2 linked regions of the Sus scrofa genome follow. The protein of the gene in region 2 purifies or fractionates together with the protein of the main gene of each other region. This does not show direct contact. Links are inferred from orthologs where the notes say so. Each region holds a gene or a part of one and is shown on either strand. Other genes may lie near its edges.

Region 1 (5,967 bases), on a different chromosome or scaffold from region 2:
TTAACTACCTGAAGTTGCAGGCTTAGGTTTTCCTTCACCAGTTGCAGGGCGATCGGCTTTTATAGATTCCTCATGCTGAACCACAGGGGCTGGGACCGACAGTGTATCACCTGCTGCAGAAATAATTTGAGCTGCCTCTGTAGGTGCTATAAATATGTTATGCATGGTATTTATAGTTTCCTGGGTTAACAGAGAAACAAACACACAGGAGACCACTACTACTATCTCCCACTTCTCATCTGACTCCTTAAAGACACAAACATGTGTGCTGCCACTATTCAAACCCACAATTAGTTAGGGGCACTGTCCACTGCATAAACCCTCACAAGATGAACAAAGGCTAGAAAAGCACAAGGGAAAGAAGTCTTGTCAGCATCCACCTGCATTGTAACCATTATTCTCATGCAAGGCTTCTAGTAACGGTAGTAAATGGTAGTAAATCTGAACTTAAGAGGACATAATATTTACATAACATGAAAAATAATAACAAAGGGAATAACCTGTAATGAAGAAGGCAGACAAAAGAAAGTAACCAAAAAATATTTTTAATTGCTTTGAAGAGTTATCAAGATTAAAGAAGAGGTGTGAGCAAGAACAGGATGACATTTTAATCTCAAGAAGAAAAGGTCACAGTTTAGATGTTGAGTCAATAATGCACAGAGCTCAGCTAAAAAAACTATTTTGTAGACATTGTTAAAAAAAGAGGGTTAAAAAAGCAAGAGCTTGTAAATTATAAATAATACTGTTGATGGAAGAGAAAATGATTAATTCTGAAGGTGGAATAGATGTGAGGCAGGAAGCAACAAAATGGAGAAAAAAAAATTATATTTTTAGTAAATTGAAGGTGCCATTTAAGAGACAGAGTTGGATTACCACAAAGCCCATTAACTGGTCTCCCTGTTCTGCCCTTGGTTCCTTATCCTCCACAATTACTGGTGATCTTGAAAATAAATGTCAGATATCAATCCCCTGACACATAACCCTCCCAAACAACTTCCCACTCAGACTAGGAAGCAAAACTCCTGTGATGGCCGCTTCTCACTGCTACCACAGGCTTTCTGCTCCCTCTCTGACCTATCTGCTCCTGTCCTCTCACTCCACTCCAGCTTCCTTTGCTTCTTGCTAGAACAGGCCAAGGCTTTGCACTAGCTAATCCTTCTGCCTGGATGCTCTTCCCTACGCACCTTTTATGTGACTGACGGTCTCATCTTCTAGTCTTTGCTCAAACGACACCTTCCAGAAGAAACTTTTCTTTCCCACTCCATTTAAAATTGCATTATTTCCTCCCACACTTGTCACTGTATGACATCCTATATATATTTTACTCGTGTATGTATATACAATTTCCCTCCTCTCATCCCAGTGAGGAATGTTCACAGCACTTGTTTTTGTTTTTACTGTTTTCTGATATAGCCCCAGTGCCTAGAAGACACCCAGAACTTCGCACATAGTAGCTACTCAGTGAATATTTGCTAGATAAAAGTCAACTGATTTTTGTTTGTTTTTTGTTTTTGGTCTTTTCAGGGCTGAACCCACGACCTACAGAGGTTCCCAGTCTAGGAGTTGAATCGGAGTTGTAGCCGCCGGCCTACGCCACAGCCACAGCCACGTGGAATCTGAGCCGTGTCTGCAACCTACACCACAACTCACAGCAACACCAGATCCACTGAGCAAGGCCAGGGATCGAACCTACATCCTCATGGATACTAGTCAGGTTCGTTACCACTGAGCCACAACGGGAACTCTGAAAGTCAACTGATTTAATGAAGGACAGAAGTGACTAAGAAGGAACATAATGGATTCAAAAGTATATTGAACAGGTTAGGATTAGTTAAATGCTGTAAATAGTGTGGGGATTACAGGGAAATCATAAAGGCAAAAAACATCTGTAGATCAAGACTAGATCAGGACTCTCTCTCTCTTTTTTTTTTTTTTTGGCCATGCCTGCAGTATGCAGAAGTTCCTGGGCCAGGGATTGAACCTGCAACACAGCAGTGACCCGAGCCACAGCAGTGACAATGCCAGATCCTTAACCCATTGAGCCACCAGGGAACTTCCTCAGGACACTTTCATCACTATGAAAGAAGAGAGGAAAGAACCGGTGAACAGATAGAAAAAAGAGATGGGGAAAGAAAATAAACCTTAAAATCTAAAAAGGTGAAAGGATAGGGGTCAGAGAAAAGGGGAAAAATAAGTCTGCTGCAGGCAAGACAATTCTTGTTGTTAGCCTTACTCAGGAGCTGTTCACAATAAAATGAACTCCATATCCCACTCAACCTCTAAAATGAAGTCAAGGTGACAGGTAAGAATATTCCCTCCCCAGGGTGAGAGAAGAGTCCTTCATGGGGACCAGCCCCCGCCCCCCCACCCCGATGATGAGTACAAATACATTAGAACAGTTCATTTACCCATAATTTTAAAAGAATGATTCTACATATAAGTACCTGTTATTGAAGCTGAAGTGTCTCCCTTTTGTTTTTGGAGTTGTGAAGCAGGCTGTTTAGATTCTTTCATTACCTCTGATACACTAGAGATTTTTAGTGGACCAGACTGAATCTTGGAAATGAAAAACATTTAACATTTCAGATATAATATTATTTATGAAAAGAGGTAGCATACAGTAACTTGTATTATTTTAAAAGTTAAGTCTTCCAGGCTTTTAACATAAAGTTATCAATAATTCATAACAATGTATTTTATTAACCATAGTAAGAGAAGCCATCATACTAGAAAAATGCAGTCCAAAAATTTCATTCCAAATGACTAGTCCATATTTTAACAGTAACAAAGACTTCTCTTAGGGAAACTAATAAAGTATATGATATATGGGCCTTCACTTTAAACACCATTCCTTTTACATACACAACACTAAGAAGGCTATTTCTATTTTCTTTCTAAATACATTTGGTTAGAAACAAATGTTCTTTAAAAAGCTATGAGGGGGAGTTCCCGCCATGGCTCAGCGGTAACTAGCTGACTAGTATCCATGAGGATGTGGGTTTGATCCCTGGCCTCACTCAGTGGGTCAAGAATCCAGGGAGTTCCCGTCATGGCGCAGTGGTTAACGAATCCGACTAGGAACCATGAGGTTGCGGGTTCGGTCCCTGCCCTTGCTCAGTGGGTTAACGATCCGGCGTTGCCGTGAGCTGTGGTGTAGGTTGCAGACGCGGCTCGGATCCTGCGTTGCTGTGCCTTTGGCGTAGGCCGGTGGCTACAGCTCCGATTCAACCCCTAGTCTGGGAACCTCCATATGCCGCGGAAGCGGCCCAAGAAATAGCAACAACAACAACAACAACAAAAAAAAAGACAAAAAGACAAAAAAAAAAAAAAGAATCCAGTGTTGCTGTGAGCTGTGGCGTAGGTCACAGATGCAGCTCAGATCCTGCATTGCTGTGGCTTCAATGTAGGCTGGCAGCTTACAGTCCGATTCGACCCCCAGCCTGGGAACCTTCATATACTGCAGTTGCGGCCCTAAAAAAAGATTATAAATAAATAAATGGCTATGAGGGAATTCCCTTGTGGCACAACAGGTTAAGGATCTGGTGTTGTCACTGTAGCAGCTCACATCACTGCTGTTACTCAAGTTCAACCCCTGGCCCAGGAACTTTCACATGCTGTGGGTATGGTCAAAAAAATTTTAAAGACAAATAAATAAAAAACTTTAGTAAAAATTAAAATTCAGAGTTTCCACTGTGGCACAATGGATTAATGATCTGGCTTGCCTCTGTGGAAGGACCAATTCAATCCCCAGCCCAATACAGTGGGTTACACAACTCCAGCTCAGATTTGATCCTTGGCCCGGGAACTTCCATATGCCTCGAGTGGGGCCAAAAAAGAAAAAATATAATAAAAATTAAAATCTGTTTTTTATTTCTTTAATCTCCAAGATTCACATACTTACACATTATGATATATCATCTAACTGTAATATGTTTTTATCTTTCTCAATAACCACCTAATTTAAGGCACTGTTCATGAACAGGACTGCTAGATAATGTACCAGAGAAAATTACTGAGTAAAAGAAATATTTTCATTTACTGCCTATGTTGTCCCCCTTTTTGCCAGAAATTGGCATTGGGACTCAGAGGTCCCAAAGACGACCACTCAGACGTAACAGAATAGGTTCTGAATTTTGTCACTACTGAAAATTAGAAATATATCTAGGAGTTCCCGATGTGGCCTGGCAGGTTAAGAACCCGACTAGTATCCACGATCCCTGGCCTCACTCAGTGGGTTGAGGATCCAGCATTGCCGTGAGCTGTGGTGTAGGTCACAGAAACAGAAGAGATCTCGCATTGCTGGGGCTGTGGCATAGGTTGGCAGCTGCAGCTCTGACTGGACCCCAAGCCTGGAACTTCCATATGCCATGGGTGTGGCCCTAAAAAGACAAAGAAAAAAGAAAACAAAAGAACAATATCTATTTTATTTTTATTTAAGTTTCATTATTTTAACTTATGAAATGCATGCTCACTATAATAAGCTCTGCCTGAGCTCACCATTCCATTTAGCCTGGTGTGCCATATAATTTTTTTCTATGTGGCGTGGACTAAATGAGAGCACTTATAGGACTCCAAAGGGAATCCAGCTCAACATAATATTAGGTCAATTTAAAGAAAAATGACAAACATATACCCAGAAAATTCTACTGAACTATACATACAAAATATTTTTAATATGAAAACAACCTGCTTTTCAAAGTATACCATAGGATAAACTGAAACTGTTCTTAAAACTCTTACCGACTTCTTTGGTAATGGAACAGTATAAGGTGGGGAACCAAGAACCATTTCAAAGAGTTTGTCTGAATAAGGTATGGTTTTCTCTACATTTGTCCGGAAATGCGAATCCCATTTGGCATACAGAATAGTGCCACCAATACCACCACCAACGAATAAAATGCCAGCGCCGGCAATTTTGCCAGGAGACAACCTAAGTGAAAGAAATAGGAAACACATTTTTGTTTTTCAGTTCTCTTAAACGTACTTCCCTAGACCAATAAGAGTCTCAAAGACCTCGGGCCTGTAATTCTCTACCGCTGATTCAGATGACAGCAGCCCAGTTTATCACCACAGCTACAATCACCTTTCACTCATTTTTTAAAAAACTTTTATTGAAGTATAGTTGATTCACAATGTTGTATTACCTGATTTGATTTTAACATGTTCATAATTTTTAAAAAATGCTTATTTTTTACTTGTGGAATTTTTTTTTTTTAAATAGTAATATCCGGTACAGGAAAAACCAAGCAATTTGCCCTTTAATACTTAAAACTTAGCATGTTCACAGTCATGAAGTTTCCTCTGAACTCAAAAAACAAGTATCACTAATCTTCAAAGCTCCTTTCCCTGGAGTTCCTGCTGTGGCGCAGTGGGTTAAGAATTCAACTATAGGAGTTCCCGTCATGGCTCAGCAGAAACAAACCTGACTAGTATCCATGAGGATGCAGGTTTGATCCCTGGCCTAGCTTAGTGGGTTACGGATCCAGTGCTACCCTGAGTTGTGGTGTAGGTTGCAGATGTGGCTCGGATCTGGCACTGCTGTGGCTATGGCATAGGCTGGCAACCACAGTTCCAATTCAACCCTTAGCCTGGGAACCTACATATGCCAGGGGCACACCCCTAAAAAGACAAAAAAAAAAAAAAAGAATCCAACTTATAATAGCTCGGGTTGCTACGAAGCCACAGGTTTGATACTCAGCCCAGCACAGTGGGTTAAAGGATCCAGCATTGCTGCAGTTGTGGCTTGGATTCAATCCCTGGCACAGGATCTTCCATATGCTATGGGTATGGCCTTAAAAAAAAAGTCCTCCCCCTTATTAACCATTTCTGTAGGAAATTCTCTGGTGGCATAGCAGGTTAAGAATCTGGTGTTATAGTTCCCACTGTGGCACAGTGGTTAAGGATCCAACTGCAGCAGCTCCGGTCGCTGGAGAAGCATGGGTTTGATCCTCAGACAGGCGCAATGTG
Region 2 (6,446 bases):
CAGTTCCCTCATCAGGGGACTAAGCCCCCTGTCTCATCTGTCTCCCCGCTTCCTCTGACACTGAGTGGAGAGGAGTGGAGCGGGGGCGGCTGGGGGCGGGGGTGTCTCATGATATTTGCCCTCTGGGGAGCATGACAGCAAATGTTCTTGGTACTCAAGCAAAAAACAAAACAAGTCTTTTGCAATTGTGTCAGGAGGCAGGAACTGGGACCAAGAAAAGAACCAAGACTTGACAAATCGAATCCCAACAGCCAGCTACAGGGTTCAGAGCTGGGGATCTGAACACAGAACAGGACACAGACACTTACTGAAAAAGTCAACTTTAATTGTAACTGACCAAACTGCAGCCAGGAATGTCTCCGAACAATCAAACAAAAGAAACACGATAAAACTCTCCTAGTGAAAAAAACCAAGAGTTCCTGCCAGCCCCAGAGCTTCTGAGGGTGAGGCCAAGAACAGCCCATTCTCGAGGCTGGTTCGGTCCCCTAAGCAAGTTTCTCATCCCACAGGGAGGGTTGGGGACGGGTGAGGGGCCTGTCCCCTCCTCCCAGCATGCTGGGATCTCTTAGAAAGTCACTGGTGCGGGGCACCGCTCCTCCCACCGCACTCCTGTCCTAAAGTCAATGGAGACCCTCTGGGCATCGTCCCCAAAGCCTGGGAACAAGGTGAGGCAGCCCAGGTGCCCTCCTGGACTCTCAGCCACAGCTTTATTCCAGTCCGCGCGGCGGGCTCCCGACGCCCCCGGCGGGGATTAAATAAAATATGCACTAGAGAAAAAACTCAAATGCCCCATCATCTCCACAACGCAAATCACAGAGCAGAAGGAAAAAATCAAACAGCCCTAGCGAGAAGCACCAGCAGCCGGCCCTCAGAAGACGCGCTCGAACTCCGTCTGGTTGGTGGTGGCTGGATTGCGGCTCTGGTTGGTGGACTGCTGGGTGATCTGGCTGCCCTTCCGGCGCGGCGGGGCCAGGTACTCGAACATGGACGTCAGGTGGGTGGACAGCATGCCCTTGAGGTCCGAGGGCATGGGGTCGGACCAGAAGAAGTCGTGGTTGAGGGCGTCGTCACTGTCGATGCGCTGGGCGGGATCCAACACCAGCAGCTTGTCGATGAGGTCCAGCGCGTAGGGGTCACGCACGTAGGCCTTCAGCCTGTCCTTCACCTTCCGCTTCTGGCCCTTGACCAGCTCCAGTTTCTCAAACAGCTCATACTTGTCCACGTTTGGCCACACCTGGGGTGGGAGGCGTGGAAGGAGGATGGCGTGAGTTCAGGAACCACGTGGCCTGTTAGGTCAAGCACCCGAAGGGACCAACACTTCTCGCTTCAGATGCTCCCAGACCGCCCCCGAGGGCACACTGGATGCCTCCAAGGTAAAGGCAGCAGTAACCGCTGTACGTGGCAATTGCTAAGCACCAGGCCCTCTCACACCGACTGCCTGCAAGCCCGATACAGCCGGCTGTTGCCCGGAAGAGGAGCTCAGCTCTGAAAGGTTCAGAAGCCTCGCCCAAAAGCATTGACCTAACCGGTGATGGAGCCGGTGAACACAGTCCATGTGGCCCCAAAGAGCAGATTGTGACCCTCCGCCAGCCACCTCTCCCTCTGCTCCCCGCCCTGCCCCTCCTCTACCAAGGAGAGGTCTGGATCTCTGCAGCCTGCGGGGCCCAGACAGCCTGGCGACGCACCTCAGGGGTGATGGAGCCACAGAGCTGGCTGATGAGGGCAAGCTGGTGCTGCTCCGTGTTGCCCTGCATGATGGGGCTGCGTGTCCACATCTCCGCCATGATGCACCCGGCACCCCACAGGTCGATGGGGGGGCCGTAGTCCCGCTCCCCTGAGAAGAGCACACCAGGAGGGCCCCTTGAGCCCGGCCTCCGGAGGCGCGGGGCCCCAGGGCCGGCAGCTCAAGAAGCCCAGGCAGGGGGGAGCGGAGGCTGGCTAAGGGCCCAGCCTCCTGCCCCTCCTAGGCCTGCTCAAGCGTCCTCACCGAGCAACAGCTCCGGGGGCCGGTACCAGAGCGTCACCACACGGTTGGTGTAGCGGTTGGGCTGGCTGTTCTTGGCAAGGCTGAAGGCCCGGGCCAGCCCGAAGTCGGCCAGCTTCAGCACCCCGTCGCGGGTGATGAGCACGTTGGCCGCCTTCATGTCCCGGTGCAGGATCTGCGGGAAGCACACGGGCGGGGGTAGCCAGGGGCCCTGAGCCGCACCCACCCCGCACGGAGAGCCCAGGCCAGCCTGGGTCTCCCCCCGACCCCCGACCCCGGCCCCCACCTTGTTCCTGTGGATGTAGTAGAGGCCATTGAGCAACATCTGCATGACCCGCTTGATCTCCGACAGCGTGAACTTGACTAAGACGTTGCTCAGCAGCCCGGCGAGGTCATGTTCACAGAAGTCAAACACCAGGTATATGCTGCCTTTGCAGCGGTTATAGGGGGAAGCTGAGTCAGGAAGCACGAGGGAGAAAGAGAGGGGTGGGAAAAAAAAAAAAAAATCAAAAACCTCACACGCAACTCATCTTCCCACAACCAGCTCCTACCCCCTCCAACCTATGGACAGTGGGTATGTGGCTGCCCATTCCTGCACGGGTAAAATATTTTCTGAGTGCTTCTCTGGGCCGGGCGCTGTGGCAGGCCCTGGGGAAGCACCTGCTCCCACAAAAGGACCCGGGAAAGCAGTTGCAGGTGGTGTGTCTGGGTTAAGAAGAGGCAGTGAAGTGGGTCCGGTTCCAGCTCCGCCAGCAAAACCTGAGGCGAGAAGCCTCATTCTCCCCACCTGAAAACGGAGGGCAAGATCCAAACAGCTTACCTTTGGTTCGACAGATCTCAATCAGGTTGACCACGTTCTCGTGTTTTAGGAGCTGGAGGATCTTGATTTCCCGCAAGGCCGTGATGGGGAACTGGGTGAGAGAAAGACAAGGAGGTCAAGAGCGGGAGAGCACACTACTGACCCAGGAACTGGCCATGGGATCCACAGTAAGGGTCGAAGGTTGGGAGACAGAGTCAAATCGTGGGCTCTGAAATGAGCTGCCTCAGATGCCATATTTAGAACACGGGCATACTAGTAGAAAGTACCCCTTCGGGAGCTGGTTTCAGACGATGACTTGAAGTTTTGCTACTTCACACAAATGCTTTATGACTAGCCATTAAATGCTGCACGGTTTCTTTAAACTCATAATGTAGAGCTCTGCACCCGTGTTTAACCTGTTACATGGTTAACAAGACAAAAAATAAAGAAGCAGGTCTTTGGGAAACTGGACTAGAGCTACGATGGGGGGGGGAGCATTTCAATTGAATACCAGTTACTCTTTTAGGGCTATGACATATGATTTTTTTTTTTAAACATTCGACAAAAGTAAAGCCCAAAGGAAAAGTGTTTAAAAACTTCCTAACTTCAGGAACCAGGGTGCACTCAGTGCAAGCATGAGCTCCCCCTCCTGGCACCAACCACGTGCACCTGAGAATGAAACATCAAACTCTTTAAAACATTTGAATTAAAAGATTTAACCTGAAAGTCAGATTCCATAGAACACAGAAATTCCTAAACACATAAATTCAACCTCAGCATGAAAGTCCCAGAAGCAGGGTGGAAACCCAACCTCTGCCCAAGGGACCTAGCAGGCCTGCCCACCCGCCCCGTACTCACCCCCTCCTTCTCGTTCTCCATCAGTACCTTCTTCAGAGCCACCTTTTGGCCGGTCTTGCGGTGCTTTGCCTTAAACACCTCCCTGCAGGCCGAAAGGGGGACCCAAGAGGACTCTTGAGGCCGTTTCCGCAGGGCCCGCCCCGCCCCCACCAGAGGAGGGCAGGAAAGGGAATCCCGGGCGGGGCTGGGCCGGGTACAGAGGGCCCTCGGCTACACCAACGCGCGGTATCTTCGGTCCCTCTCCGAGCCTCTATTTCCTTCCCTTTGCCCTTTCTCCTCACCCAGGCGCCGCTGCTGGGAGAGATCCCGCTCCACTCACAGGCTCCTCTCTGCAACCCCTCCCTGCCTCCCATCAAGGGCCTCAGGCTCCTCCCCGCCAGCCGGCTCGGTCAGGCACGGGCGGGCTGCGGTGCGGCCTAGCGAGACCAGGGGACAAGTTTGCGGCTAGGTGGCTTCCCAACCAACTGGACACGGGCCTGGGCGTCTCGACATCGGTCCAGAGGGGTGCAGGCTCAGGGCTCCTGGTCCCTGGGGGCCCAGCCTTACCCGAAGGTGCCTTGGCCGATTTTAGCGAGCTTCTCATATTTGGTCACCTCATCACAAAAGGGGCACTCCACCGAGTCGTACTGCTTTGCCATGGCCGCCTCCAGTGCGCCGCCGCCACCTCCAGCCGCCGCTGCCGCCGCCGCTCCCGCTCCGGGTCCCGCCGCCGTGCTCCAGGCCCCTCCGCGGCCGCGCCACTTCCGCCTCCACGGCCACTTCCGGCCCCGCGGCGCCGACCCCGCCTCTTCCGTCCGCCGTCCGCCGCCAGGCCCCCTGGGACTTGTAGTTCCCGGGAGGCCAGGAGGAGCCGGAGCTGCAGAGGCGCCTCCGCCACCGCCGCTGCCCCCGCCTCCGCCGCCGCCAGTGCTGGCGGCGGCCCCGATCGGGGGCGCGGGGAGCCGGGGCGCCGGGGCTGGGGCTCGGGGTGGTGCGTCCCGCTGCATCGGCTCGGGCCGCCGCTGCTGCCGAAGCCGCTGCCGCTCTGGCGCCCGATCCGGGGCCAGCCGCAGTGCCCTGCTCCTCCTCCTCCGACGGCGCCGCCTCCGCCAGGCTGCGCGGGGCGGCGGGAGGGGGGCGCCCCCCAAGCCTCGGCCTGGGGGCTCCCTGGCCGGGCCCGGGCCCGGGGCGGCCGGACGAGGGGGCCAGACGGAAAGAGCCGACGAGGAGGCGGCCCGAGAGCCCGGGAGGGGGCGCGTTATAAAGGGGGAGGTGCCCCGGCCTCGCCCTCCCCTCCCCCTCCGCCCGCCCCCTCCCTCCTCCCTCCCACCCTTCGCGGCCGCACCTGCCGCCGCTGCCGCCGCCGCCGCCGCCGCCGCCACTGCCGCCCGCCCGCCCGCTGTCCGCCCGCCGCCCTCGGCGCGTCACCGCCCGCGGCCCCTCCTCCGCCTTCGGAGGTGGGGCCCCGCGCTCCACACCTGGCTGCTGGGCGACTCGCCGCGTGCCTCAGTTTACCCACACATGCCAGCAGCTTCAGGGAACCCCTTCCTTCCCAGCTCCGGGTGCCCCCCTACAGGCAAAGGAGGGAGGCGCCGAGGAAGCAGCCTCGGGTCCAGAGAGGAGAGAACGGCCCCCACCGCCCGCCTCTCCGGGCCCCCGCCGGCCGCCGTTGATATGGCAACCGATGGCCGCCAGGGGGCGCGGCGACATTGGAGGCGGCAAGCGAGCAACTCCCGGGCCCCCTATTCTCTGGGAGGCAGGGATGAGGCCCAGGACCCCCGTCCCAGCTGAGCTGTGCCCAAGATGGTCGTGCCTGGGTCGGTAGTCACAAAAGTAGCCAGCATTTATTCGACAACCCTTGTGTGTTCAGCAAGTGCTGGGCATTCCTGCGGAATCCTGAATCAACAGCCCCATAAGTTAGGGTCACTAACCCATTTTATAGAAGAGCACATCGAGGCTCAGAGAGGTGAAATCATTTGCCCGAGGTTACACAGTGACAAAGCTGGGACTCGAACCTTGTCTGTCTGAATTTGAAAAGGATTCTCTGACTCAGGCTATTTACAGTCTGTCCAGGAGTATAGCAGTGGTACTGTTTGAGGCCCGCTGTCCATGCCAAGTTCCAAGCCCACCATTCACCCATCTCCTTCTCTGGCTCTCTGCCCCCTTCCCCTCCCCTGGCCTTTCCCCAGCATCTTCCTGGCTCCAGGAGCTTCCTGTTTCTTCTTCCAGCCCTACTCAACAACCAGCCTCCCCCCAAAGCTGTCTTTTCTGTCTCCTCTGTGCCGCTTCCATCTGCCTGCTCCTCCCCAGTCCTCTGCCAGTGGACCCTGGGACCTGTCCTTCCCAGTCTGCCCTCTCCATCTGTCCCCCTCCCAGCATCCGCCAGATCAGTCCCAGGTGGAGTCCCTCCACTGTCTTCAGGAAAAGTCGAATCGTGACATTTGAGGCTCTTTCCAGCTTCCCTCCTAGGCTGTGGCCACAGTGTTCCTAAGGCCCTGGGCCTGCCGTCTCCAGGGCTGTGCACCCTGATTGCACCCCAGTATCTCTGCAACCAGCAGGAAGCCCTCCCCGGCTTACTCTCCAGCTCTTAGCTCACATGGCTTGGCCTTGAAGCTCCCTTGTAGGAGTCAGGAATGGGTCTGCTGATCCTAGGGTCCCAAGAGGGCTTGTTCTGCCGGGGAGGGCCCTTTCAGGGAGGGTCTTGAGGGTCGGGCGAGGAGCCGCGAGCCCTCCCCTAAAGGCCGTGGGGAGTTGGCGAGGGTTTTAGGCATGTCAGGGGGCGATCTGGGGTCAGCTTCTTGGGTACACTACTAGAAGCAGGGCAGC

What was found. The genes of interacting proteins can lie anywhere in the genome.
Region 1: the proteins of CDK9 (region 2) and IMMT purify together in Homo sapiens (affinity purification with mass spectrometry; 3 studies listed by BioGRID, with this or other methods). This does not show direct contact. The link is inferred for Sus scrofa from reciprocal best matches to the Homo sapiens genes CDK9 and IMMT.

The regions. Positions count from the first base shown.
Region 1 is NC_010445.4:58,594,543-58,600,509, reverse strand, and holds part of IMMT (MICOS complex subunit MIC60), read right to left. Parts: intron 4,931-5,967; coding exon 4,741-4,930; intron 2,557-4,740; coding exon 2,445-2,556; intron 147-2,444; coding exon 9-146; intron 1-8. UniProt on the Homo sapiens protein: Component of the MICOS complex, a large protein complex of the mitochondrial inner membrane that plays crucial roles in the maintenance of crista junctions, inner membrane architecture, and formation of contact sites to the outer membrane.
Region 2 is NC_010443.5:268,274,916-268,281,361, reverse strand, and holds CDK9 (cyclin-dependent kinase 9), read right to left. Parts: upstream 4,280-6,446; coding exon 4,188-4,279; intron 3,724-4,187; coding exon 3,642-3,723; intron 2,896-3,641; coding exon 2,805-2,895; intron 2,438-2,804; coding exon 2,271-2,437; intron 2,160-2,270; coding exon 1,988-2,159; intron 1,835-1,987; coding exon 1,686-1,834; intron 1,235-1,685; coding exon 869-1,234; downstream 1-868. UniProt on the Homo sapiens protein: Protein kinase involved in the regulation of transcription.